Linked DNA regions of Mus musculus: regions 2, 3 and 4 are each reported to be linked to region 1. Evidence: microRNA targets listed by miRTarBase, many of them from high-throughput screens and not tested one by one. Region 1 holds a microRNA gene; each other region holds the end of a gene's coding sequence.

Evidence for each region. Region 1 holds the annotated microRNA mmu-miR-3089-5p (UGAGUUCAGGGACAGCGUGUCU, at 2,119-2,140, opposite strand). A microRNA usually pairs through its seed, bases 2 to 8, with sites in the 3' UTR of a target mRNA and lowers its output. Matches are read on the target gene's strand: a 7mer-m8 pairs with bases 2 to 8, a 7mer-A1 pairs with bases 2 to 7 and ends in A, and an 8mer does both.
Region 2: miRTarBase lists H2az2 as a target of mmu-miR-3089-5p. Seed matches in the 3' UTR shown: 8mer at 5,576-5,583.
Region 3: the mRNA of Tigd3 is a reported target of mmu-miR-3089-5p. Seed matches in the 3' UTR shown: 7mer-A1 at 908-914 and 8mer at 936-943.
Region 4: the mRNA of Slc12a8 is a reported target of mmu-miR-3089-5p. Seed matches in the 3' UTR shown: 8mer at 6,013-6,020.

What each region holds. Positions count from the first base shown.
Region 1 is chr2:30,716,243-30,723,361 of GRCm38, reverse strand. It overlaps Mir3089 (microRNA 3089), which reads right to left and starts at 2,152; the gene lies at 2,069-2,152. Gm14488 (a long non-coding RNA gene) reads left to right here and starts at 2,175. Exons shown (of 4, transcript XR_866106.3): 1 at 2,175-3,389; 2 at 3,492-3,656. Gm39782 (a long non-coding RNA gene) reads left to right here. Exons shown (of 3, transcript XR_866107.2): 2 at 256-307; 3 at 649-1,799.
Region 2 is chr11:6,422,155-6,429,273 of GRCm38, forward strand. It overlaps H2az2 (H2A.Z histone variant 2), which reads right to left. Exons shown (of 5, transcript NM_029938.1): 4 at 6,942-7,071; 5 at 5,072-6,278. The coding sequence ends at 6,217. Among named protein-coding and RNA genes, the nearest start is that of Ppia, 9.8 kb to the left of the region's middle.
Region 3 is chr19:5,885,118-5,892,236 of GRCm38, reverse strand. Tigd3 (tigger transposable element derived 3) reads left to right here. Exons shown (of 2, transcript NM_001362045.1): 2 at 1-1,099. The coding sequence ends at 549. It overlaps Slc25a45 (solute carrier family 25, member 45), which reads right to left. Exons shown (of 6, transcript NM_134154.4): 6 at 6,469-7,119. Among named protein-coding and RNA genes, the nearest start is that of Tigd3, 5.5 kb to the left of the region's middle.
Region 4 is chr16:33,662,452-33,669,570 of GRCm38, reverse strand. It overlaps Slc12a8 (solute carrier family 12 (potassium/chloride transporters), member 8), which reads right to left. Exons shown (of 13, transcript NM_134251.3): 13 at 5,433-6,646. The coding sequence ends at 6,484. Among named protein-coding and RNA genes, the nearest start is that of Heg1, 18 kb to the left of the region's middle.

The DNA of each region.
Region 1 (7,119 bases):
GGTGGGGCGATGATGGCTCAGTTGTGCCGGCCATGAAAGGATGAAGATCTGAGTTTGATTCCCAACACCCACTTAAAAGCCAGCTGCAGTGGTATCTATTACCCCTGGGGCTGGGGAGGCAGACAAGCAGATCCCGGGAGCTTGCTGGCCAGCCTAGCTGAATTAGTGAGCTCTGGGTTGAATGAGAGGCCCTTTCTCAAACACACGCTGAGCGTGATAGAGGAAGACTCTGACCTCTGTCTCTGGCTTCCACAGGCTTGCATCTGTGCACACGGACCCTCCTACATGCAAACCCCCACACGAACAGGTACGTACCACCCCCTCACTCACAAAAGACAAAATAAAAATAAAAACAAAAAAAGGTCTTAATCAGAGGCTCGTTTGGATTTTTCCAGCTCCCCTTGTCTCCCAGGGCCCTCTCCTAGAGGGGGTTAAGCACATTAAGATGCAAGCAGAGTCGGCTCTGCTCTGCGCTCAGAGCGGGCCAGGGCTGAGCAGATTCTGGTTGTTATTGTTGCTGTCTGTGGCACCCTGAGTGCCTGCCCCAACACCCTCTAGGAGACTCTGGGGAATTTTCCAGAGCTTCAGGGCTGAGTTGAGCACAGATCTCAGAACTCCTAATGTTTGTTTCTTGTTCTCCTTCCCCAGCCTCCTGAAAACACGGATCCCCATCAGCCTAAAGTGGTCTGGGAAATGCTTGGTCTTCCTTACACTGATTCCTGTGTCTTTTTGTTGGGCTTTGGGTTGGAAAACTCTAGAAGAACCTAGATCAAATTTTAGAATTGAACCCTGAGGGTCCAGGCTTAGCTCACCCAGCAAGGCAGCTTCCCTGGCCTATGCAGCACAGCCACCTGCCTTACGCTGAGCTCTGGCTCCTTCAGAGGCCTCTGGCATTACCAGTGCTTCTTGGACAGTGTCTTGTTTCTGAACTTTAGGCCACAAAATAGAACAGACTGGGGTGCCTTTGGACCCAAGGGTAGGAGGACAGAGCTGTACTCCCAACTGAATTAGGAGGCAGAAAGACTGGGGGGTGGGGGGTGGGCATGGCATCCACAGAGAGGCAGGGGTGTGGGAACCCTCTGAGGGTGCCGGGCAGGGGCTGTGGGCCAGGCCTGGGAGCCTCGGGGAGGCCGGCAGGCACAGAGAAGGAGGCCTCCTACCAGACACTGTCTAGACGCAGCAATTATTGTCAGCTCGGAACACCCAGGCTCTGCCTGTGCAGCTGAAAAGGAGCTTAACAAAGAGAGAGGGAGGAAGAAGAAAGCGGAGCAGAGCCGCTCTGAGCCTGCCTGCCCGCCTGCAGCCCGCGGCTCTTTCTCTGCTTGGGCTCCCCCCCTCTTTGTGTTCCACAGGCACTGTTGAGGGGACAGCTCCTCACAGCTCAGAGATGCCTGATGGGGACAGAGCAGGAGGTGCAGCTCTGGGGCCCTGGCCAACTCTTCTGAGCTAGGCTTCTCAGAGTGGATGCTGGGAAGTCTGGGTCTTGTCCACTTTAGAGGGCTCTAGCCTACACCCTTGTCATACTGATGGGGAGCCTTGGGTCACGGAATGACAGCCTGACACCTACCCTCCTCTGCTTCCAAGGAGCCAGGCACTTTGTAGATAGGGTTAGGGGTGGGGGCTCAGAGAACACAGTCAGCCGTGGGGTGGCTTCAGGTCTGTCCTTTAGATCTGGGCCTTATTCTTCTCACCCTTGGGAGGAGGTGAGAGGGCAGGGCCAGCATAGCTTTGATGGGAAGCCCACCCTCCCCCGCCAGGACAGGGTTTCTCTGTGCAGCCCTGGCTGTCTTGGAACTAACTCTGTAAACCAGGCTGACCTTGAACTCATAGAGACCCTCCTGCCTCTGCCTCTTGAGTGCTGGGATTAAAGGTGTGTGCCATCACTGCCTGGCTGGAAGACTGTTATTAGCCGTGGCAGGCCCTTCAGAGCTGGAAGATGAGCACTTTGGATTCCATATGTGTCCTAGAACCTTCCCCCTCCTCTCAGTTGCCATTCCCGAGACCCCCTTGGCGTTGGCAGCAGTGGTGCTCAGAGTGTAGGGGTGGAGCCTCAAGGCCCTGGGTTTCTGCAGCTAAAAACACAGCTCAGGATCAGCAGATGCTCAGACAGAGAAACTGAGACACGCTGTCCCTGAACTCAGTTGCAAGCCACCAGCTGTTCCCCTTATCTCCCTGTTCCAGGGCATCTGGGCAGGGGCTCTGCTCTCAGCCCAGTCTGTAGCTCTAACTCTACCCACTAGCTTAGGCTCATGGAAAGGACCTACTGTGTGCTCAACTCTGCTCTCCTCTTGCCAGCAGTTGGGGTTGGGGGCCGGGTGGGGAGTGACTTGGTGGGTGGGCACCTTCTACATCCTGTGGAGGTAATGAGCAGTCCCAACCTACTGCTGGGGAAAGGCCTGAAGCTGGTCAGGGCTCCAGAGTGACTGGGTAGGGGTAGCTGGGTCCCTCTCAATCCTTCTCAATTAGAGACAAGGCCCTCAGAGCAAGAAACATGCATACCTGCCCTTACATCACACCCGAGGCCTCTTGATCTGTCCCCAGGACCTTCCCAGGCTCCAGGCATCGGCCTGGCCTGCCCGAGGCTCAGCCCTGCTGGCCACACACTGTCTTGTCTGCTGTGTCTCCCAGTACTCAATTATAGGAACAGAACCCTCCTCTCTCCCTCTGCACCATTACCATAACAAACCTGATTCCCCTGCCTATACTGCAGACCCACCGGGATCAGCCGGTCCACCAGGATTCTAGCATATTCTGCAATGCCACTGCAGCTCCCTCAGCCCTCCCCACTGGGTCTTCCTTTCACCTGGCGCTCTGAGCCATCTCTACCAGACCCTCAAATATGCGAAGCTGCCAGCCTGCTCCTGTGAGTTGTCCCCTGCCTCCTGAACAGCACCAGCCCTCCCTGTCACATAGCCAGCCCAGACAGCTTTCTGATTCCTCCCGCATCTGCACTAGGCTGGTCTTCCACCATGGCACAAACCAAGCTTGAGTTCAGCCCCCAGTTCCTAGCCTCTGGGAGCTTTGGAGACCTGTTCTCTCTGCTCCATAAAAGCCTGCCAAACCTTCCAGAGGCAGGAATTGATAGACCACTTGGATCTGAGGCCTGAAGACTGCCAGTCCTGTCTTCCCTGGCTTCGCATTAGTTGAGTTAGTCATCCCAGTAGATCCTCATGCACCCTTCTCTAGGACACTTCTGACCCCTGCTGAGATCACACACACAGCCAGTCTGCCTAAGTCCCTGATATTTCAGCCTTCTTGGGGGCACCCAATGCATTTTTTATGGCTCGCCACGCCTGCGAGCCCTGTGGGCCAGCTGTCTCTGGCTTGTCTCACTCTGTGAACCCAGCTCCTGCTTCTGAGGTGCCTTCCCAGCCTGACACCACCTAGAGGTAGGAGAAGTGACTTGGGCCCACACCCCCCCCCCCCCCCCCCCCGTAAGTGAATCCCTCTCGGCCCAAGCACCAAGGCAACCTCTTTGTCCTCTTTCCCAGGGCCTCCATGCAGACTCCCAGGAGTCACCGTGAAGGCCAGAACAAGGCTGTGCCATTGTGCTGCCCACTGACCTGAGAGCACTCCCAGGAGCTGGAACTGCCTTGTGCCCAGTTCCTCCCTCAAGCCCCCATGCAACTAGGCCAGTCCACAAGGACAGGAGGATGGTAGGTCCAGCAGGGGTGGGTACCCCACATCTATTCCTCCTCCAGAATTGGCCCAGAGCGTTCCCCAACCCTTGCTGTGGGATATCTAAGCCTCATCTTCCTTCCTCCCTGCCCTGCCTGTCCTTTCCCTCCAAATATCTATCCCTCTCCTCTCCTCTCCTCTCCTCTCCTCTCCTCTCCTCTCCTCTCCTCTCCTCTCCTCTCCTCTCCTCTCCTCTCCTCTCCTCTCCTCTCTCTCCTCTCCTCTCCTTGTTCTCGCCTCTCCTCTCCTCTTTTTCTCTCCTCTCCTCTCTTTTCCTCGTCTTCTCTGAGTCCTCCCTGGGCCTCCTTCCTTTCTTCTTCCTGGGTTAAAAATAATCAACTTTCTGGGAAGCGGCAGTTCCCGCTGAGCCGCCCTCCCCACACACGGGAGCCCCTGAGAATAGCTTTCTGCGGCTCTCCACTGAACCCCTCCCTCCCTCCTCCCTCCTTCCCTCCGCCCCCTCCCCGCCGGCTGACTAATAAGCCGGGCAGCCGGCTCTGCCAGCTCGCTGCAAGGGCGTTAACTGCTTCGTGCCCGGGTGGCGTTCAGCATATAGCGACAACAGGAGGGTTGTAGGGCACCAGGCCACACGGAGCCGGAGCTCTGGGCCCGTAGTAGACGTTTAACTAACCCAGCTCTGCTAGGCCGAGTGGTTTGGTGAACTTTGTCATCTAACTACCGCTGCGAGCCTGCTGCTGCTGCGGCTGTTGTGTGGCTAGCTAGTTCCTAGCTTAGGAGGAAGGGGTCAGTGGGATCAGTCAGGAGAGGCACCCAAGGGTCGGGACCACGTGAAGGGTGTGACTGGCCTAGTGACTCCTTGGCCCCGGATTCTGGGAACCATTGCGACGGGGCAGAGGTCAAAGGCAAGGCAAGGCTGCCTGCTGCTCTGGGGATCCATGCAGGTACCCCACTGGGAGGGACTTTGACAATTAAGAAATTACATCTAGGGAAACTGAGGTCCAGGGGGTGTTATTCAGGCTAGGATGCATCTGAACATCTGCAGCAGTGCGTGAGGCTCAGTGCTGCAGGGGGCTGATGATCCCAGTCCCTCAAGGTTGGAAGAAGAGCCGGGATATCAAGGTCAAAGGTGAGGGGTTGCTAAGGAGAGCAGAAAGTCAGAAGGAGCAGAGGGGTCCACTCAAGCCCCACCCACTCTGCGCGTCCTGGCATTACCTCATCACCAAGCATGCCCATTGGCTGGCTCTCCTGGAGGCCGGCCCAATGCGGCGGAGCGCATTAACCCGTTCCTCCCAGCAAGCTGCGCTCTGCCCACACCACCCACCTCTGTGTCCCCCACGTAGCCTGCAGAGCCTGAGAGTTGAGAGGACCGGGGAATAGGTGAAGGAGGTGCAGTCCTACGGCCGCATAGTCCCATGGGTGCTGTGTAACTGGGACATCCCTGTCCTGTTCTGGGCTGTGTGACCTTGGACAGACTGCTGCACCTCGCTGAGCCTCGGTTTGTTTTTCTCAGCTGTAAAAAGAAGTGAATGATGTAACTCACGCCCTTCCTAATCCCTGCCATGTGCTTGACAAATGCGGGGCACACGTGGGCTCTGCGTCCCACGGTGCGCCTGAGTGAGCACAAGTGGTACCATTGGGAAGATGGGGTTTCGGGAGAGCAAACGGCTCAAGGTTACCCCGCCATCTCAGGGCTGCCTTTCTTACAGGCTTCTTCTGCTCTTCAGGGAAGTGTTGCTTCCCGCAGTAGAGGTGGAATTGTGCCCAGCTGCTCAGACCCCAGCAAACCCCCTGTAGTTGACCAGTGACAGAGGAGAGCCTTGTGGTCTCCAGGAATATAAGCTGGGACTGAACCCCCAATGGCAGAGGACCCCTGGGGCAAGCACAAAGAAAGGACTACTGGGAAGGACTGAAGCATAGCAAAGGGTTAGTCAGCTACTGGTCCAGAAGGCTGCTTCTCTGGACTTTGGAAATATGCAGAGACCCACAGGCCTGCCTGAGTGTTTACAAATTATAAATCAGGCTAGCAAGCAGCTAAATCAAATCCCTTCCCTCCACCCTGACAAATCCACCTTCCTTAGGAAAGATACAGGCCTCCAAGGCTGGGTTTGTATTTCTAGCTCCCGGGTTTTTCTGGTGCCCAGAAGGGAGCACACGGTGGCTAGCTTCCTCCCAGGATCCTCAGCTCTATCTACCACCTCTGCTTGTCCTCCGCGGGCTGTGCACACTCAGGACCGAGTGGGCACTGCAGGCTGAGAGTCAGCTGGGGCCACGCCCCTACAGACAGCCATCTGCTGGTCACCTGAGTGCTGAGAGTGCCCACGAGGCAGTTTAGACAACCCTCGGGGCCTCTGAGACCCGAGCTCCGGGGCTCCGACCACGCTGGTCTCTGAACCACCAGTCTTAAGTGGAGAGGTCCTGCCAAGCGCCCTGGGCTGCAAGTGCAGCTGGGGTGGTCTTCGCTGGAGCCAGGGGCTGCTCTCTTGGAATTTCCTTCTGCCCTTTGCTTCTGGCCACACCCACTCTAGCTAGATCGCCACCCCTAAGCCATTGCGGACTCTTCCCAAAGTTCCCGTTCCCACTGCTTCGGCCTGTGCTGTGCGCACCTACCCCTCTCTGCCCCCTCCCAGAGCTCCTCTCCCACATTCCCTGCCCACCTGGTATCCCTCCCTAAAGCCAGCCATGCAAATCTTCCTGGAACTCAGACCAGGCTGCTGCTTCCTTCAGCAACAGAACTGGCTTCCATGTTGAGTTCCCTGCCACAACGTGCCCCACTGATGGCCAGCTTCCCCTGGATGCCACCTTTTTGTCTCATCCCCCTGTGGCTCTGGGCTCCAGCCATTGGCCCCAGCTCTGATTAGGTAGGGCACATTCTGTTCCTTTCTGCGCTGGGTCTTTGCACTCTCCACTTGCTTGGCTTGGAGTCCTGTTTTCTGCCCCTCACCTCCTGGGGGTGGGGCGTCCCTGATCCCCACCCCCACTCCCAGCCCAGCAGAAATCACACAGCAGGAGCTGGTTATCTGCGGAGTATCCGGTGGCCAGCTAGCTTCCCCCCGTGGCCAGTGTGCAGCAGGAAAGCTGCCCGGCAGCCAAGCTTGCAGCTGCTCCTCTGGGTCTCAGCAGAATGCCCAGCATCATGGAGGACCACTGGGTGCTGGAGGGGATCTCTGGATCTCAGCAGGCCCCTGGGCTCTCTAGTCTTCATCAGCACTGCCTCCCGCACAGCCCCCTTTATAAAGGGACCTCATGTTTCCATTCTCCAGGACAAGGACACTACGCACAAAGGTTCTTTGACACAAAAGGCGAGTCACAGACCCAGATCAGAACCCAGGTGGTCCACCTCCCTCCTTCTAGCTACAGACCGAGGGGGCAATATCTTGCTGTGGGTCTTTGGGCAAATGTCTCAACCTCTCTAGTGGAAGCTTTGCTTTGTATAGGACTGGCCAGAAGGGTGGGTGATCATTTGAGATTCTTCCCAGTTAA
Region 2 (7,119 bases), not on the chromosome of region 1:
ACTTCAGTTCAGCACTGCTTTCTGCGCTTCTAAGCATGTGCAGCAAAACACAAAAAGACAAAAAAAAAAAAAAATCAAACCAGCATTTGTTTTGGACCACAGACCTGTGTCTAGCCTGGGCACACCTACCAACTCCAGCATTCTAACACCTGAATGATACACACTGCTTCTTTGAAGGGCCATCATTCAGCTACTTGATGCTTTTCAGATATGCATATCTGCCATGTGAGGCCTATGAACCTAACTTGGCTCTGTAAAAGCAGGGAGAACTCTTTATCTGAGCCATGTTCCTATCTCCTGGAACGCTTCTATGCACCTTTCTCCTCCCCACACTTTTTCTGAGGGTGACAGCCAGAGAACCAGTCTTTGTAGAGAAAAACCCTTCTGTACAGCATATGGTAGAATCTCAATACATGGAATTAAGAGAAAGACTTAGGAAGGAAACCATTCCCACCAATGGAAGAAATCAACTTGTTCACAGAGGATCCACCAAACGAAGAAAATTCATATATAATCAGCTACCGACAGACACACCAGGCTCCCTATCCTGAGGCCACTGTCATGGGTTGGAAGCACCGGTGCAGGGTCTCACAAACATTTCAGGAAGGTTCTCAACAATTCACATCAAAGAAGTTGGAACTGAGACACTGGCTAAGAGCCTAGGGCTTGAGGCAACCTGAGAATGGTCAGAACTGAGAGCGTGCTGTCAATGCTCTTCTGGATTCCCCTGAAAATATCCAAACTAGGTAACTGCTCCTAACTCAAGATGGCCTGAAGAAAGAGGGAGAGAGAACGTGTGATTGAGAAGCTGATAGCAGCCACTCAAGAGAATGGCACATTGTGAGTCGTGGCGGAAGAGCAAGCGGCTTCACTAAAAACAAGATCCCGAGGTGATGTTGCTAATTCCATACAATGGATACGGCTGAGGCTGAGGCGGTTCATGGACCATATCCACATCCACACTTACGTGGGCAGTCTTTAGGTTCCTGGGCAGTTTGCAGTGTGCTGCTTTCCCACTGACCATTCTTAGAAATGCTGGGGTATTGCAGCCCAGTGTGCTCAGTTCTGTAGAGCGCAGTCAACTGGACACTTATGAAAGCCATGCATTTTCAGCTCCATATCAAGAATAAAGTCCCAGTCTCTCTGCCTCTAGGAACTGTATCTAACAGACACACCCACCTCTTCTGTGAACTGTTTGCAACACTAAAGCTCAGAACATTTGGCTCTCCACAAGACTAGAATAAGAGCCTTGTGATGCTTTACCGACTCCTCAGGAAAACCAGAAAACCCGTTGTATAGTCAAGCTCTTTGCACCAACAGACCCTGTATTTGAGCTCACACTGATCTGGATGTATATGAGCTTAGCAGATATTTTTGACTCTGAATTTGTCTATAAGATGAGGGTGCCTGGGGCTGGAGAGACAGTTCAGTAGTTAAGAGCACTTGTTTTTCAGAGGACTGGGGTTTGAATTTCCAGTTCTGAGGGATTCAGTACCTCTTCTGACCTCCATGGGCAGTAGGGATGCACATGCTGCATAGACACACATTTGAGCAAAACACTCACATACATAAAACACAAAAGAAAACTGAGGAGGCTGGCTAGTTTCTTTCCCAGCTATCCATGGAATCAAACAGATAAACCCACACAAACCATACAAGTCATGCTGGGCTTATTTTGTTTTGTTTTTGAGACAACGGGGTCTCACTACCTAGCTCTGTTGTCCTAGAACTCACCCTGTAGACCGGGCTGGCCTCTATTTCACAGAGATCCACCAGCCTCTGTCTCCTGAGTGCTAGGATTAAAGTCACGTGCACCACCATGCCTGGCTGCTGTTGGTTTTCAAAGAAAATGCTGAGTAGCCTTCCCTATCTGAAAAGAAAAATCCAGGGTTTGGCTTGTAGCTCAATGGCAAAAGCCCTGAGTTCAATCTCCAGAACCTGAGAAAGCTAAAAAGCAATCCCAAGCCTGAGCTAACAGACGGAGTCTCGTGTGCCTCTCACCTCAGCCATGCTGTGCTCTGCTGTGTGTGACACGGAGCTATCACTTCCGTGCCTGTACCACATCTAGCACTGTCCTCAGTCTTTTTTTTTTTTTTACAAGATTTATTTATTGGGCTGGCAAGATGGCTCAGTGGTTAAGAGTGCAGACTGTTCTTCCGAAGGTCCCGAGTTCAAATCCCAGCAACCACATGGTGGCTCCCAACCATCTGTAACAAAATCTGATGCCCTCTTCTGGAGTATCTGAGGACAGCTACAGTGTACTTACATAAAATAAATAAATAAATCTTTAAAAAAAAAGATTTATTTATTACTATATGTAAGAACTTCTTCAGACACACCAGAAGAAGTCATTCGATCTCACTACAGATGGTTGTGAGACAACATGTGGTTGCTAGAATTTTAACTTAGGACCTTCAGAAAAGCAGTCAGTGCTCTTAACTGCTGAGCGGTCTCTCCAGCCCATCTTTTTTTTTTTTTTTTTTTTTTTTTTTGGTTTTTCAAGACAGGGTTTCTCTCTATAGCCCTGGCTGTCGTGGAACTCACTCTGTAGACCAGGCTGGCCTCGAACTCAGAGATCCACCTGCCTCTGCCTCCCGAGTGCTGGGATTAAAGGCATGAGCCACCACGCCCGGCTCATCTTTTGTTTTTTGAAATAGGGTCTATGTCCTTGTCTGGCCTGGAATTCACTCTATAGACCAGGCTGGCATCAAACTCAAGAGTGTTCTGCCTACATCTGCCTGCTGAGTGCTGGAATTAAATATGTCTGCTACTATACCCAGCCACCAATCTTTTTCTTTCAAAGTTTAAACTCTATTTGTCTGCCACGTGTGTGTAGGTAGCCACGGAGGCCAGAAAATAGCGATGGATCTCCTGGAGTATCACAGGCCATTGCAGGCTGCACAATGTGAAAGCTGAGTACGGAACTTGGGTCCTTCAGCAGCAGCAAGTGGTTTTTGTTGTTATTTTGAGACAAGGTCCTTCTGTATAGCCCCTGGCTTCCTTGAAACTTGGTATGTAGACCAGGTAGCTCTTGAATTCACTAGAGATCTGCCTGCCGGTACTAAAGGAGTGCACTACCACTCTTGGACACATTCTCTGTCTCCGTCTGTCTCTCATATTTTTGTGTATATGGGTGCTTTGCCTGCATGTATGTATGTTCACTACTTGTGTGCCTGGTATCTGAAGATGCTGAAGAGCTGGAGTTACAGTGACCATGAGAGTCCACATGGAGCGTCCACTGGAGTCCAGGTCCTCTGGTTGGGCAGGCAGTGCCCTGAACTACAGAGCCATCTCTCCAGCCACAGCATCAACCTTAACAGAACAAAACACAACCTTCTAGATCTGACAGGTTAAAATAAGAGCATGGGTCCAGAGAGATGGTTCCATTGGAAGTGCCTGCTGTGTTAGCATGAGGATTTGGGTTTGGATACCCAGTACTCATGCAGAAAGCATAGTACAGGGACTGTAAGATGGCTCAGAAGGGAAACACATGCCTTGTAAGTCTAATGACCCTAGTTTGTTCCAAGAACCTACATAAAGGTGGCGAGAACTCACTCTGAAGGTTGCCCTGTAACCTACACACATGCACTGCGGCAGGCACACATAAACATACTTAAATTTTAAAGTATTAAAAAAGCAATGGGGGCTGGTGAGATGGCTCAGTGGGTAAGAGCACCCGACTGCTCTTCTGAAGGTCCGGAGTTCAAATCCCAGCAACCACATGGTGGCTCACAACCATCTGTAACAAGATCTGATGCCCTCTTCTGGAGTGTCTGAAGACAGCTACAGTGTACTTACATATAATAAATAAATAAATCTTTAAAAAAAAAAAAATAAATAAAAAATAAAAAAAAAAATAAAAAAGCAATGCACAGCAGTACACATCTGTAGTAACCCAGCACATGAAGATGGAGCCAGGCAGATTTCCAGAGTTCCTTGGCTAGCCAGTCTAGCTGAATAGGCAAGTTCCAGGAAACCACCCGATGCTGACTCTGGCCTCTACACACACACTGGAATGCATTCAGTAACAAATCTACAGAATTCAGCTCCTTCAAAAATTTAGGTTACAAGAAAAATAAACCTGTAGGTGTATAGTCACCTATAGGTTACCTAACAAATCAACTTAAATACTAAGAATATGTGGGCTGCAGAGATGGCTCAGAGTTTGAGAGCACTGACTGCTCTTCCAGAGGTCCCGAGTTCAATTCTCAGTACCACACAGTGGCTTACAACTGCCTGTAACTTGTAGTCTCATGGATCACATGGTCTCTTCTGGCGTACAGAGAGATATACATGCAGATAAAACACCCACATATGCCAAGCATGGTGGTGCACACCTTTAATCCCAGCACTCGGGAGGCAGAGGCAGGCAGATTTCTGAGTTCCAGCTTGGTCTACAAAGTGAGCTCCAAGACAGCCAGGGCTATACAGAGAAACCCTTTCTCGAAAAACCAAACCAAACCAAACCAAAAAACAACAAAACCATCCACATACATGTATGGCTGCACACCAGAAGAGGGCATGTGATCCCACTACAGATGGTTGTGAGCCACCATGTGGTTGCTGGGAATTGAACTCAGGATCTCTGAAAGAACAGCCAGTGCTCTTAACCACTGAGCCATCTCTCCAGCCCAAACTTGTCTAGATTTTAATTCCAACAAACTATAAAAAACTTGACTGGTACTTGGTAATAAAACTGTCAACTTGGGCTACAGATATGGCTCAATGGCTAAGAGCACCAACTGTTCTTCCAGAGGTCCTGAGTTCAATTCCCAGCAACCACATGGTGGTTCACAACCATCTATAATGGGATTGGATGCCCTCTTCTGGTGTGTCTGATAGCGACAGTGTACTAATACATAAAATAAGTTAATTAATTACAAAACAAAACAAAACAAAACAAAACAAAACAACAAAACCACGTCAGCTGTCTTCACTGAACCCTGTGATCAGTCTGTATAGCACACCAACGTGAAGACTGTCACAGTACTCAGAGTAATCCACTGGTGGTGGTAGGTGGGGACACGGCTAAAATTGACCATAAAAACTAATTCTCAGGACCAGGACACATGGCTTTGTCACACTAGTGCTAGTTTCTTTATTTCTGTGCATTTGTCAGAACTTCCATAATAAAATATTTCTTCAAAAATGAATTGTTTTGATACTGTGATATTATAAAACATTAATTTCTCACAAAGACATATTGAAGAAAAATAAAATTTTGGCTATCGCATTTACTAGTGAATTAGTTTACATCTTGTAGTCACTTAGACATCAATCATAAAGGCTGTAAGTCACTGCAGGTTAGTGGGATCGATGAATGGCCACACAAAGTTAGAATTCCAGGACCCAATCAGAAAAGTCTAACTTAGTAGCATCACTCCTGTGTGCACTCTGAAGCCAGACAGACCTAGGCTTGTGTCCAACTGCACTGACCCATCTACCAGCTCAACTGTCTTCTCAGCAGATCATTACCTCCTGTGGACAATGGGCAGCATGCCCATAAAGTAGGCTAATAACACTCCTTGATAAGGGCTGGAGAGGTTAAGATCACTGGCAGCTCTTGCAGAGGTCCTGAGTTCAGTTCCCAGCACCCACATGGTGGCTCCCAATGGTCTGTAATGGGATCTGGTGCTTTCTTATGGCTTGCAGGCATATAGGCAGGCAGAACACTGTATACGTTAATAAATATATATTTCTAAAAATTGATTATATCTGAGATTCAAACTAACACTGTAACAATCAAGGTATACTACATTCCAATTTTTGCTTTAAGATTATTCTGAATATCTTAAAACGTCAATGTCTGAAGAGAATATGTAGTCCAGGTTGTGGTAGAACTTGGAATGTAGGCAGAGATCAGCGTGTATTCTGAAGGTCCTGCCCACACCTCCCAAACGCTGGGGATGCAGGCAACATGGCCCTGGCCAGGTTTGAAAAAAGTATTTCTAATACATCATGAAGAAATACTGAGACACAGTACTTTTGTAAAAAATGTTTTATCAATTCTACTTTTGTATAAAACACAAGGGAGAAACCTGGCCAATCAACACATGACTGTGACCACAGGGAAAGGGACTCATCAAACTCCGAGTCTAAAAACATACAGATGTGGCCTTTGTCTCGTCTACAGCAACCGTCTATGCTCTTCCGCACACCGCACTAGTCCCCTCTGCCCTGTTACAGACCGAGGAGAGCAGGCCAGCGACTCACGTCCTAAGCAGTTTTCTGCTGCCCCTTCTTTCCAATCAGAGACTTGTGGATGTGCGGGATCACGCCTACAACACAATGAGTATGAGTTGTTATTTTTAATAATGTCCTTTAAATCTTAAAGCTTTAAAGCTAAAGTAAAAAACGATTATACCAAGGATGAACTTATTTAAGACCCTTCTCATTTGGATCCTACTGAACCTACAGGAGCCTGTGAACCCTTCTACAGGAACAGTAAACAAGGCTAACTACAGCCATGACATCTGTAAGGTATGTTCAAAACAGCTGAGAACTGCCAACTCACCTCACACCTTGACAGATTCCTAACACACAACTAGCTCAGTCCTGCCACGTCTACCACATTAGACAACTGCTCAGGGTCATGGCAGTTCTCTAGCATAGTTCAAAACAGATGGGGAAATATTTTAAACCTAAGGTTTGAAGTATCGCATCATTTAAAGAACAAGCTAAAATAAAAATAGCACTACACAGGACAGGTGGGAGAACAAGTATTTACTCAGATCACTATGACAAGGAGCAGAGAGGAACCCAGAGTGGCACTCAATTCGAGTGTTTACCTGTAGCATTTATGAGGACCTAGGATCACCCAAACACCAACAGAACTGTAGCACATTTAACACGTATGGAGTTAAAATCCATATGGCTTCTAGTTAACCATTCAAATACAGAGGACCATTAGTTAGAAATAATCTAGGCTTAATAATACGTACCGCCCCCGGCTATGGTGGCCTTGATAAGAGAATCCAACTCTTCATCACCGCGGATTGCAAGCTGTAAGTGACGTGGGGTGATGCGCTTCACTTTGAGATCTTTGGAAGCATTACCTGCTAACTCCAACACCTACAATGCATCCAGAGTAACACAATCAGGTCTCCACATGCAGAAGGG
Region 3 (7,119 bases), not on the chromosome of region 1:
GCCTCCAGCACCACTCCTTCCCTGCCTGGCTCTGTGATTTTGGCCTTTAAGGCCCATTACCGTCACCGTCTACTGAGCAAACTGGCTGCCATGCAGAGTGGGAAAGAGGGCACCTCCCTGGCGGAGGCCAGGGCTAGCATCACAGTTTTGGATGCTCTGCACATGGTGGCCGCAGCTTGGGCCAAGGTACCTCGCCAGCTCATTTTGAGCAGCTTTGTTCAAGAAGGGCTCGCTCCGGGCAAAACACCACTGTCCCTGGACAAAGACACTGAGATGTCACCAGTCCCTAGTGGGCTGAGCCAAGAGGAGTTTTCTCACTTTGTGGACCTGGAGGATGAGGACCCAGGGCCTAGAGTGTGCAAAGAGGAGACGGGTACTGAAGACAGTGGGAGGGAAGAAGATGGCTTTGAGCCCCTGCCCACCAAAGCCGATGCCCTGCAGGCACTGTGCACCCTGAGGAGGTGGCTTGAATGCAACAGTGCCTCTCCAGAACTCTTTGAGAAATTCTATGACTGTGAGGTGGAGGTGGAGCAGCTCTGCTGTCTGTGAGGAGGCATAGCTGCCTATTAGTCTCCCTCTCCTGTTTCCCATGGAAACGCCTCTCCAGAGACAGACTGGCTCTTTCCTGTGGAAATAGTATGTGGAGGGTGTAGAAGGGAAGGAAGTTGGAACACAAAGTCTAAGGTCAGAGTAAAAGTTGTTCAGGCCTAGAGTTTCTACGGATGGGGCCTCAAGAGTGGAAAGCTGGGCTGTGTAGCTTCTAGGCCCTGGAGAAACTTCTAGAGCTTTGTGGAGAGTTAGTCTAAATAGGGTAGAACCTAGAAAGGTGGACCGACTTCCTTTTTTTGTTTTTTGTTTTTTTTTTTTCTTTGAGACAGGGTTTCTCTGTGTAGCCCTGGCTTTCCTGGAACTCACTTTGTAGACCAGGCTGGCCTTGAACTCAGAAACCCGCCTGCCTCTGCCTCCCAAGTGCTGGGATTAAAGGTGTGCACCACCATCGCACAGCATGGACAGACTTCCTAACAGTGGCCCCATTCCTTGAATTTTTGTGTCAAAACCAATTCTGCTTCAGGAAATAAAGTTTTTAGCCACAAAGTCAGGATGTGGAGGACCTTTCTTCCTTCCTTCCTTCCTTCCTTCCTTTCTTTCTTTCTGGAATGTAATCTTGTATAGCCTGGGTTGACCTTGAACTTGCCCTATGACTGAAGATGATTTTGCACGTCTGCTTGCCTTCCCCTCTAGGGCCAGGATTATGGGGGTTTATGTGATACTCTGTATTAAACTTTTTTTTTTAAGATTTATTTATTTATTATATGTAAGTACACTGTAGCTGTCTTCAGACACTCCAGAAGAGGGCGTCAGATCTTGTTACAGATGGTTGTGAGCCACCATGTGGTTGCTGGGATTTGAACTCCGGACCTTTGGAAGAGCAGCTGGGTGCTCTTACCCACTGAGCCATCTCACCAGCCCTCTGTATTAAACTTAACCCAGGGCTTTGAGCATACTGAGCTAGTGCTATGCCTACTGAGTTTCCCCCCCCCCCCCCCGCCTCCTCAAAGCATGGCTTACATGAGAGAAGGGTGAAGTCTTTCTATCAGGAAGAACCCTTCATACACGGACCGTGCTTACAAGAAGAAAACTTGAAGAAAGGTCTCAGGGCGACTCAGACCTTTGCAGTTCTTACCACTTCAGCATCAGACTGTGTGGTGTAGTGGCCAGCAGCAGGGCAGGGCAGGACAGGACAGGGCAATGAGCTCTGGAATAATCATTCATTCACTACACTTTTCATCCATTTATTCATTTTACCACAGTTCCTTTTATCATGATATCCTATGTGGCAAGATTGCAAAGGTGACATCCCTGCAAAGCAGGACCAGAAAGCAATGACAGGCAAGTGCAGAATGCTTTGGCCCTACAAAGCCCAGTGAAACCCAGTAGAGGTGAGCTGGTTTTGCTGTTGTTTGTATGGTGATAGCGTTCTGGTTTTGAGACAGGATCTCACTATGTAGAGCAGGCTGGCCTTAAATTCTTGGAGTTCCACCTGCTTCTACCTTCTGAGTGCTGGGATTAAAGGTGTGTGCCATCGGGGCTGGAGAGATGGCTCAGTGGTTAAGAGCACTGACTGCTCTTCCAGAGGTCCTCAGTTCAAATCCTAGCAACCACATGGTGGCTCACAACCATCCGTAATAATATCTGATGCCCTCTTCTGGTGTGTCTGAGGACAGCTACAGTGTACTTACATATAATAAATAAATCCTTAAAAAAAAAATTGTGTATGCCACCATGCCCAACCTTGGTTTTCTTTTTAATTTTTATTTATTATTTATGTGGGGTGGGGGAAGCACACACACGTGCACACTTGCTACCATGCACAAATGTAGGTCAGAAGACAGCTTTGTGGACTTGGCTCTCTCCTTTCTCCTCTATGTGGGTTCTGGGAATCAAACTCAGGTCTCCAGGTTTTTGTGGGAAGCGCTTTTACCTGCTGAGCTGTCTCACCAGCCTGTGATGAGTTTTGATATTGGAGCCCTGAATAGAGAGAAAAGTGGAAAGGATAGCAAACCAAAGGAAGTAAGCATGGGCCAACTGGGGGTGAGGGAGCACCCCTGGGTGTGGCATATGTGGAGGTGAGATGTTCTGAGATCCCCCCAGTAAATTGGACATAGTAACCCTGTGTTAGCAGTGGTTAGCTGTAGGTGTTTGCAGTATGGGTATATTACACACACTGTATGGAACACTTACCTGGGAGCCATTTGAGGTCTAGTATTTTGACCTATGACCAGGTCATTCATTACACGGGAAACTTGTTTATATTGGCAGATACCCTGTAGCTCTTGTCTGTTTCATGGCCAGTGTTATGGTGGCACTCGGAGCTGAACTGCTGAACTGTGTTCTCCCGGTGAGTGGAGAGAGAAGTCTCAGAGGACAGATGCAAGTGTGCCGTGTAGGAGAATAAGGTGCAGATCAGCTAGTCACTCATTCAGTTGGCAATGAAACCAACACCACTAAATTCTTTTGCTTTTGTCTTCTATCTTTTTTTTATTTTTTTATTTTTTATTTTTTTTTTTTTTAAGATTTGGAAGGTTTTAGAAATCTGCCTGCCTCTCCCTCCCAAGTGCTGGGCTTAATGGCATGCACCACCATGCCCGGCACAACAAAGGCTCCTAACAATGAACTGTCTCTGTAGCACAGCTCCCCATCTCTCTGTAGGAGTGCTGGTTCATAGATCCACACCAGCACATCAGGATTTCTCTGTGGTTTCCAGGGATGGAGTTAGGGGTGTGCAGCAGTGTTCTTAGCATTGGGTCCTCTCCACGGCTCATCTTTTGCCTTTTGTATTACAGCCGTTCTAATAGAGGTGACATAATTAATGTACCATCGCACTTTTCATCTCATTTCTCTTAATAATGCTCAAAGTCATTTAACATTCCTGCGTCTTTGTGTTTAACCCACCTTAGCCTTCAACTTTTGTCTGCCGACAGTGTCCAGAATGGTGGATTACAGATGTGTATCCAGAAGGGTGGATTACAGATGTGTATCCAGAAGGGTGGATTACAGATGTGTATCCAGAAGGGTGGATTACAGATGTGTATCCAGAAGGGTGGATTACAGATGTGTACAGGCTTGCCCAGCTCTTTTGTTGGTTGGTTGGTTTTAGTGCTTGTTTTGAGGCAGAGTCTCATCATGTACCGCTGCTGACCTGGGACTCACTGTGTAAACCAGGCTGGCCTTTGACTCACAGATCTGCCCTTGCCTCCAACTGGGATTAAAGGCACATAACACCTGGCCCAGCCCCTTGTCCAGCTCTTGCTGGCTATCTGTATCTTTTTCATGAAAGATGTCTACTCAGAGCTGGGTGTAACACTCTGTCTCAGCAAGAAAGGAGAGAGGGGGCTATATGTTTAGGTACTCTGCTCATTTCATCATGGGTATTGGGGAATTCTTCACCTTTCCAACTTAAACCTGTGGAACACTCAGTGGCTCATCTCTAGAAAAATGTGTAATTGTTTCTTCTGAATAGAAGGGGGCACATAAAGATGATGCAATATGCCAGGCACTCGGGAGGCAGAGGCAGGCGGATTTCTGAGTTCGAGGCCAGCCTGGTCTACAGAATGACAGAGTGACAGAGTGTCTCTGGACAGCCAGGGCTACACAGAGAAACCACGTCTCAAAAAAACAAAACAAAACAAAACAAAACAAAACAAAAAAAAAACAAGGAGGAGGAGGCTGGGAGGCTGGAGAGTTGGCTCAGTGGGTAAGAGCACTGACTTTTCTTCCAGAGGTCCTGAGTTCAAATCCCAGCAACCACATGGTGGGTCACAACCATCTGTAATGAGATCTGATGCCCTCTTCTGGTGTGTCTGAAGACAGCAACAGTGTACTCACATTCATAAAATAAGTAAATCTTAAAAAACAAAAAAGGGAGAAGAAGAAGAAGAAGAAGAAGAAGAAGAAGAAGAAGAAGAAGAAGAAGAAGAAGAAGAAGAAGAAGAAGAAGAAGAAGAAGAAGAAGTTGTTTCCCCAAGGCCTAAGAATTCAAGGTTTAGTATGCTAAACTCCAGGAGGCAGCCCTGACCCCCACAGCCTTGCCTCGTGTCCCCTATTTCTCAGACTTTAGGAAGTTACCTCACATCCTGCTCAGTTAGCAAGCCTAAAGCATGTTTGTAAAACTTTATTTTTCTGAGTCATGGTCTCTTGTAACCCATTCTGGCTTTGAACTTGATATCTAACAAACCTTGACCTGACCTTTTGCCCCCACCTACCTAGTGCTAGGATTATAGGTGTGTGTCACCATGCCCCGTGTACATGATAAGGGGACCAATCCAGAGCTTTCTGTGTGACAAGCACTCTACCCCTGAGCTGCGTCCCTGGACTCTCAGAACTGTTTCTTGGACAGCCCACTAAGCTTTGATGATAAGGAGCTAGGAGTAAAGTCTACTCCATGCATGGTTTAGGGTTTTTGTAGGCCAGGCTAGCCTGGAACTCACATAGATTCTCCTCCTCTGCCTCCTAAGTGCTTATAGGCATTTTAAAGATTAAAGGCAGAGTTCTTGGTTTAGAGAGGCAGATATACTCAGAATCATACAGAAAAGACACTTGGAGTGTGTAATTACAGACCAAGAAAGAGGGGTGACATGAAAAACATGTCTAGTGGTTCTCCGTGTGTGGCCTACAGCTGCAGCTGGAACCTTAAGGAAATATACATCCTCCTACCCTCCCAAACCTCCCCAAACCCTAAGGTTTGACTCAGCAAAATACTTGAACAAACCCTCCAGGTGCTTTGGAACCATTGGTTGGCATAGCTGGGGGAAACAGATGTCTTGAAGGAGCCAAGAACTGAAAGATGGGGAGTTACAAACTCGGGGAGAAGAGCGTGAGCAGATCCTTGCAGCAGACCCGGATGTGTTCAGCAGAAGTAGGCTAAGGCGATCATCAAGAGCAAAAGTCTATGGCATCCTCTGCTGTGGGGAAGGAGCTCAAAGTAACAAGAGGCTGTGGAAGAATACAGTCTAGCTAGCTAGCTATTTATGGTTTTTCGAGACAGGGTTTCTCTGTGTAGCCCTGACTGTCCTGTCCTGGAACTCACTCTGTAGACCAGGCTGACCTTGAACTTAAATAAATCTTTGAAAAAAAAAAGTATTAAAAAAAAAACAAACAAACTACCACCACCACACCAAACTGGCTAAGACCCAGGCAATGGAGGAACACACATTTGATCCAGCACTCAGGAGGCATAAGCTGGCAAATATTTATTTATTATATGTAAGTACACTGTAGCTGTCTTCAGACACTCCAGAAGAGGGCATCAGATCTCATTACGGGTGATTGTGAGCCACCATGTGGTTGCTGGGATTTGAATTCAGGACCTTTGGAAGAGCAGTCAGTGCTCTTACCTGCTGAGCCATCTCTCCAGCCCTATTGTTGTTGGTTTTTGTTTTTAATATTTTTATGCTGGGTTAATGCCTTTAATTCCAGTACTCAAGAGGCATAGTCTGGTGGGTCTCCCTCGCAAGGCCAGCCTGAACTACAGAGTGAGTTCCAGGACAGCCATGGCTACAGGATTTCATGGAGAAATCCTGTCTTGAACCCTCCCTCAAAATATTTTTTTAAATTATTTTGTGTGTATGGGTATTTTTGCCTCCACGTGCATGCAATTCCCATATAAGCCAGAAGATGGCATCAGATCCCTCAGAGTTACAGATGAGTGGGCTGCCGTGTGGATGTTGGGATTTGAACCTGGTTCCTCTGGAAGAGCAGTCAGTGATCTTAATCACTGAGCTATCTCTCCAGCCCCTCAGGCAGTTTTAAAATCTAATTTAGCAATTGAGATAGATAATCAGACAAATGTAAGGAAAGATGTGATCGAGGAAGAGACAACTTGGAGAGGGGCCAGGGCATGGACATGGGGGTTGGAAGGCTCACAGCTGTGTGTGATGGATGGGAACAGAGACAGAAAGGGATCATCAGTACTGCATCAGATGAAACTTTATTTCATGTATCTGTTCAAGGGACAGAAGTACAGCCTTGAGCACAAGACTGGCACAAACTAACTACTCAAAGGAGGAAAAACAAAACAAAACTAACCATGAAGCACTGCACACAGAGGTATGACTGAGGTAGGCAGGAGGGCTGGGGTGCTTGGGTACCCCATAATCAGCACAGATGAGGTTGGAAGGACCCCTAAATGAAGAGCTCTGCCTGGATCTTGAGGAGAGTGGGCCACTGGAGGACAATGACACCACCCATGGCATTCCTGGGACTTGAGGGCCTACACCAGGAAGTAACCAAGAGAAGGCCACCTGGTGGGGCAGGCCAGCCAGGAGCCTAGGACCTGGGTTTCCCTGAAGGTAATGGAAACCCCTGAAGGATTCTGGACATGAAGAAGACAGAAGTCATCCTCCTGTTCAGGGAGTGGTTTGAACTCAAGAGCTGGGTGATGCCAGCACAGTGGCTGGTCTCTGAGTGCTCCTTCAGAGGGGTGGCTATGGCATGGTGGCCTTGGTGATTTTTATGGACTTCGTGCCCCTGCTGCCTGGACAGAAGTGTCTGGTGAGGTGGGGTGTGTCTTGGAGTCTGCACAGGGTTTCTTGTTCATTGGTTTCTTGCACATTGGCTCCT
Region 4 (7,119 bases), not on the chromosome of region 1:
TCACAAGGGTCCCTAAAAGCAGAAGAGGGAGGCAAGAAAGGCAGAAAAAGAGTGTAATGGAGAAGCAGAGGCTGGAGAGAGTGTGTTTGCTGATGGCTGGGGTAAAGGTGGAAGGCACAACATCATGGAATAAAGACAGCTCCTTGAGTCCAAAGGAATCAAACCAGTCAACTCTCCTAGTCTCTAGGGCAGTGGTTTTCAACTTTCCTAATGCTGGACCCTTTAATAGAGTTTAATACAGTTCCTCATGTTGTGGTGACTCCAACCACAAAATGATTTCACTGTTACTTCATAACTGTGATTTTGCTACTGCTATGAATCATAATTTAAATAATTTTGGTGATAGATGGTTGCCAAATGGGTTATGATCCACAGGTTGAGAACTACTGTTCTAGAGTGACCAGGGCTCTGCCTCCACCATCGTCTTATTTCATCAGAAGACCCATGTTGAGCTTCTGATGTCTACAACTGTAAGAGAACCTTGGCTGTTTCAAGCCACTGAATGTGTTGCAGCAGCAATAGAAAGCCGGGCTGGGAGTGTAGCTCAGTGGGAAGCATGCTTGCCTATCATACATGAAGCCAGGGGCTCAATCCCACCACCTAGACTAGGCATGGTAGAATATGTCACCTGGTACCTGGGGGATGGAGGTAGGAGGTTTGGAAGTTCAAGGTCATCTTCAGCTACATAATGAGATAATGAGTGTGAGGCCAGTCTGGGCTACATGAGATCCTGTCTCAAAAATGAATGAATGAATGAATGAATGAATGAACAAATAATCTTCCCAACTCACTTGTACAAGCTATTGCTTCAGTTGATACACAGCAGACAATAGGACCCTGAGGACCTCAAATAACTGGCCCTTGCCTCTTTAGAGGTCTAGGCTAGCTTTTTGGCTTCCTCTTAGATATCTTGTCTTAGCAATAGATAACTCGCCACCAGGCCACCCTCTACTTCCTGCACTGTGACATGGCAAGAGGAAAGAGCTATACCCTCATCTAAAGCTAGGTTTCCCCTGAACCTGGATCATTCATGGGTTTAATGTTTTAAGACAGGAGCCTATCTGATTAGTCAGAAGTTGGGCCGTGTTCATGAGTGGGCAGAACCCCCATTTGAAAGGTAAGAAATGTGAAGTTGCCGCCTCTCTTTTTCATATGATACTGCTGACAAGGCAGGCTGGGCCTTGGTTCTAGTTCCTTATTGAAGGAACTTTGGGGTTATAGCTTCTTAGACTAGAGAGGGAAAAAAATGTTAGACACTGGAGCCTTGACTCAAACTGCTGATACCAGTGGCATTTATCCACCACTGTTGTTGACAGAAGTTTTGTGCCCTTTCAGAGAACTAATATATAAACTGAGGCTGGAGAGATGGCTCAGCGGATACGAGAGCCATACCACTCTTGTAAGGACCTGAGTTCAAGTCCCAGCACCTATATCATGCAGCTCATGGTTGATACTTTGATATCTCTGTCCTCCTTGAATACATGCAGACACTTATATGCAAATAAATAATAATATTGAATATGTAAACTGGCACCCTTTATCCTATCTTTATTTGGTGGGGGGTTGTGAGTTCCTCTGGATAGCCCTGGCTGACCCAGGACTATCTGTGTAGACCAGGCTTCCCTTGAACTCAAGAATACTTCTGCCTCTGACTCTGAGCGCTTCAATTAAAGGTGTGCACTACCACTGCCTGGTTGTGCCCCATCTTTAAACACTGAGTCAGAAATCTGAAGAGACTCCTTGAATCCTGAACCTTAGACTCAATACCAACTTAAATTATTTATGTATGATGCATCTGGCTATGTAAATTAGAGGGCAGATGAGCACGATTTTCAGAGATACCTGAGAAAATGACCTCTGTTCAGTGAGGCCTGCTTGCCCTCACTTTCATCTATCTTGCTGTTCATCCATCCTGTTGCTGAGGCATTCCTTCACTGGTATTAGAACCTATTTCTTTGAGACTCCAATGAAGACAAAAAAGCAGCTTAGATGTCCAGGCTCGTGGATGAAACAACTATGTGATTCTTGGCCCTTTTATCAGGAGATAGTTAATGCTGGACTAGCCGGACCACAGCCTGTAAGGTACTAATGAAATATCATTTCTATACTTCTGTTCTCCAGAACCAAGAAAAAAAATATATTTCTGTTGTTTTAAAGGCATCTAGTCTGTGGTTAAGACTTATGTATTTCATCAGTACTGTTCCTCCAGGGAATCCTGACTAATACATGCCTAACCCTTGTCTGAATGAGCCAAGCATGCTTACTCATCGTAGTGACCTGCAGTATGCGGGTTTTATATAACACTGGCTAATGTGCCACCTCAGGTTCCATGTGTACCACCTGTGCATAGTCAGGCTACTCGTTGCATCTCAGCTGTGATGACCCCTTCCAGGTGGACTCCAGTTAGGCTGACTCCATGCAGAACTACTAGGCACTCCCATGCATGCACATTACAAGTGAGGTGGAGGTGGCTAATGTCCTCCTAGGCTCCCCCTTTAGTTTGGGGAACCAGGAACCAGGAGATAACTCTTGACTCCTCCCCCCTCTGGAAGAGGGTCTTGAGAGAGGTGTTCTGCAGTCTCTTCACGAGGAGGCACGTGCTCCTGTGTAGCTTCAAATCCTTCCTCCTTGCCTTGGTCCTCTTGCTCGCTCTCTTTCCTGCCTCCCCTTACTGAAGTGGTAGCTTGTGAACATCAACCTGTTTAGCATCTGCCCCCCCCCCCCCAACACTGAGCTGCTCATTTTGTTTGGAATCCCTGACACTGAGTACAGTTTCTGATTTTTGTCATGAGCCAGTCCTCTCTTATTCTTCTCTGTAAGATGAATCATACTGGACAATGCTCTTCTTGAATCTTCTGTGCATTATTTTTGGCCTTGGTATCATCCTACTTAAGCTCTGTGGCTAGCCCGGCTCACTACCTCCTTCAAAGAGGTTGCTCTTTTAGCCTGGTGTGCAGCATTCAAAACAGCAAAAGCAGATGCAGTCAAAGTCTTCTCTGCGTTGTGCAAAAAGGCGAGAACCACTGCTCTGGATTATCTTGGGCTTCTGTATTATCGCATGCCTCAGAAAACAGAGTAGAAGATGGACTTCACATGTTCCCAGAAGGCAGCTGTAGCCTGCAGTGTTGGCTTTGAACTGCAGAGATGTGGTCACAAATCCAGGTGGCTGGCAGCAACCAAAGCTAGAGGAGGCACAAAACAAACTCCCCCAAAGATTGTGGATTCTTGGATTCAGCTTTGATGCTTGACCTTCGTTTTTGACTCAGTAAGACGGATTCGAGACTTCTGTACTCCAGAGCTATGAAAAAAATATATTTCTGCTGTTTTAAAGACATCTGATCTGTGTGATTAATTACAGAAGCCATAGGAAAATTTTTGAATGCAGGTTCCTCTTTAAAAGGGGCTTCTGATCTGGAGGTTGAGGACAGAGGGCTAGTTTAAGGCTAGCTTGGTCTATATAGTGAGTTCCAGGCTAGCCTGAACCACACTGAAACCCTGCCAACAGGGCTGGAGAGATGGCTCAGCAGTTAAGAGCACTGACTGCTCTTCCGAAGGTCCTGAGTTCAAATCCCAGCAACCACATGGTGGCTCACAACTATCCATAATGAGATCTGATGCCCTCTTCTGGTGTGTCTGAAGGCAGCTACAGTGTACTTACATATAATAATAAATAAATCTCTGGCTGGAGTGAGCAGGGCTGGAGTGAGCAGGGCTGGAGTGAGAAGAGGTCCTGAATCAAAATTCCCAGCAACCACATGATGGCTCACAACCATCAGTATAGCTACAGTGTACTCATATACATTACATAAATAAATAAATAAATAAATCCTTAAGGAAAGAAAAGAAAAGAAACTCTGTCAACAAAAGCAAACCAAAAGAGGTCCTCAGGGATCGTCACCCTGAGCCCTTCATGAATAGTTGGCTTTATTTCACCATCTTCCTACTTCAACCTGTTAGTAAGCCATGACCAGCTCAGTCTGTCTTCTTCTGCTTTATTTTATTTTATTTTATTTTATTTTATTTTATTTTATTTTATGTGTGTTGATGTTTTGCCTATATGTATGGCTATATATTACATTCTCTGGTGCCTATAGAGGCCAGTAGAGAATCTCTGATCCTGTAGAAATGGAGTTACAGTCAGTTGTAGGATACCACATAGGTACTGAGAATTGAACCTGGGTATTCTGGAAGAGAAAGAAGTGTTCCTGACCACTGAGCTATCTCTCCAAACTGTGTCCTTTAAAAAATATTTACAAAATTTTATGTGCGTGTGTGTGTGTGTGTGTGTGTGTGTGTGTGTATACGTGTGCGCGCCTGAATGAGGCTATGTGCACTATATGCATGCAAATGTCCATGGAGGATAAAGGGTATTGGATCCTCTGGAACTAGAGTTCCAGGGGGTTGTGAACCGTCTGATGTGAGCGTTGGAAACTGAACCTGGGTCCTCCGCAAGAGTAGTGAGTGTTCTTAACCACTAAGCTACTTCTCCAGCCCCTCAGACTGTGTTTTTATGATATTTTCTTCTAAAAGGTTTGTGTGTGTGTGTGTGTGTGTGTGTGTGTGTGTGTGTGTGTGTGTTTATGTGTTGAAAAGTCACAGCACAACTGTGGAGGTCAGAGGACAACTTGTAGGAGTTGATTCTCTCCTTCTACCATGTGGCTTCTGGGGCTAGAACTCAAGTGGTCAGAAATGGTGACTCCTTTTGTGGTGTTGCTTTAGACCCAAAGTCTGCATCCTTTAAAGGTATGTATCTAAAAGTGCTCAGACGCTTATTCCTTAAGCAGAGCTAGGTTGTTTCCTGCCATCACGAGTGAGAGCTTGTTTTCCAGAAGAGAAGGTTACAAGACCTAGCTGACCCCTTATGCCCTTCCCAGCCCTCCCCTCCTCTAAACTGTCTATCCAACACATGGATGTTTTATAAAATGTGTCCACAGCATACCCAGCACTGACTTGTGTATGGCATTGTTAAAGATGTAGATCCCATGACTCTTCTAAAACTTGGATGGGTCACTTTGAACATGTGCGGCAGGAGAGAGCACAGCATCTCAGGAGAACGTATGGAAGAGTCTAAGGTGAGCCAGCAGTCCATCCCTCCACGCTCAGCAGTGGAACTGGAGCCTGGGTTAGGGGCTGAGCTTATTAGGAGGCCTGGCCCCCACTGCTGGATGCTTGCAATAAGTGCCAAGTCTAGATCACAGAAGAACCAACAGTCCTGTCGTCTCGGGCAATCCATGGTGCAAAACAGCTGCAAAGGTGTCAGGGAGTCAGACTGCGCATATTTTTGAAACACTGTTAGGCAATTCATAGCAATTTCTCCCCCTTCCCCATGATACAGGTGGAGTCTTACTGTGTAGCCCAGACTGGCTTCAAACTTTTGGTCCTCCTGTCTCCATCTCTCAAGTCCTGGGATTTCAGGTGACTATCAAGCCTGGTCATGGTATTTGATTGACTTTTTAATTAAAAAGCATTTCTCCAAACAGTAACAGCTTACAAATGTACATCCCCAGTCACCCTGTAATTCTCCTTCTGAGAATTTATCTTCAGGTATCCTTCACGACTGTGCACACAAACACAGTGACTCTTTGCAGAAGCGGCTGTAATAGCAAAATATCAGAATGAAGCTAAATGCCGTCCTCGTGAGGCTGAGTATATAAATTAAGGCACATTCAGACATAGAGACATAAGGAGGAAACTGTGTAAGCATCTTCATGGAAATGCTTCTATGGCAGATTAAGGGAGAAGAGCGGGATGTAGTGCATTGTAAACAGAGCTGCATTTGCAGATGGGAGGGGTCTGTAAAGAGGTGGCTGATGTTTGCATGAGAAGTGGTTGCCCCTGTGATGGGGGACGGACACCAAACAGATGAGAAACAGGGAGAAGGGGGTTTCTATACTCTGTGGCTTGGGAACCATGTGAGTGTAGTTAGTATACATTACAAAATAAATAAAACAGGGGAGGGTGCTGGAGAGATGGCTCAGCAGTTAGGAGCACTGACTGTTCTTCCAGAGATCCTGAGTTCAATTCCCAGCAACCACATGGTGGCTCACAACCATCTGTAATGGGATCCGATGCCCTCTTCTGGTGATGCTATTTTCTGTCTGAAAATAGCTACAGTATATGTATATATATATAATTCTTTAAAAATAATAAAAAATAAAACAATAAAATTAAAAAGAAGTGTTTATTTTGGCCCCTTAGAATAAGAAATCTCGTTTTGATTCTCCACATTTGGTTGTCTTGGTGTCACCTGATCATCCTGGTGCCTGTGGACTCTTCAGGTTGGGCACACGTGGAAGCCATAGTCATACCTAGTATCTGGCTAGACATGCCATTTCAGACCGGAATGTGATTTCCAGCGTCCAAGGCTGTGGTGGGAAGACCAGTCTTGGGTTTTCTTATTGGTAGAAGCAACTTCCAAAGGTTCTGAGGCTTGGGTCCCCCATCTCCACAGCGGCTTCTAGAAAGGTGGGGTCCAGCGAGGTCCTAGTAGGGAGGCATCAACTGCTCCCGGCTCAGGAAGGAGGAGTGGTGGTAACGATCTCGGGTGGCGAAGTCTGCATTGTCCTGGGTAAGCTGAGTCATTGCCATGTCAACCTTGGCTGGTGATGGCGCCAAGATGATTTGCTCCTGGGCGGACCTCAGGCTCCTTTGGGGGAGACATAGGATGGGGAGAGGGGAAGAACAGGTGGAGATGAATTATGGGAGCCAGTCCACCCCATGGAGATACTGTCCACCCCATGGAGATACTGTCCACCCCATGGAGATACTGTCCACCCCATGGAGATACTGTCCACCCCATGGAGATACTGTCCACCCCATGGAGATACTGTCCACCCCATGGAGATACTGTGCAAACACCAGCTGCACTAACATTTATGTCTTTAAATACTTAAAAGATAATTGTTGGGAACTACAACAGCCTATGAACTCAAAGTAGGAGATACAGTATCAAGTGAAGACGGTAATATTGACCATTGTTAAGTGAAACACTGTAAAACTATACCTTCTAATAAGGGATGCCCACCCTAAAGACAGTTTTGTGAGAGTTCTGTAACTTTTCTTTGTTCTTATCAAATGAGACAATGGCAGGACTAAACTACAGACTGGAGAGGAATGGAA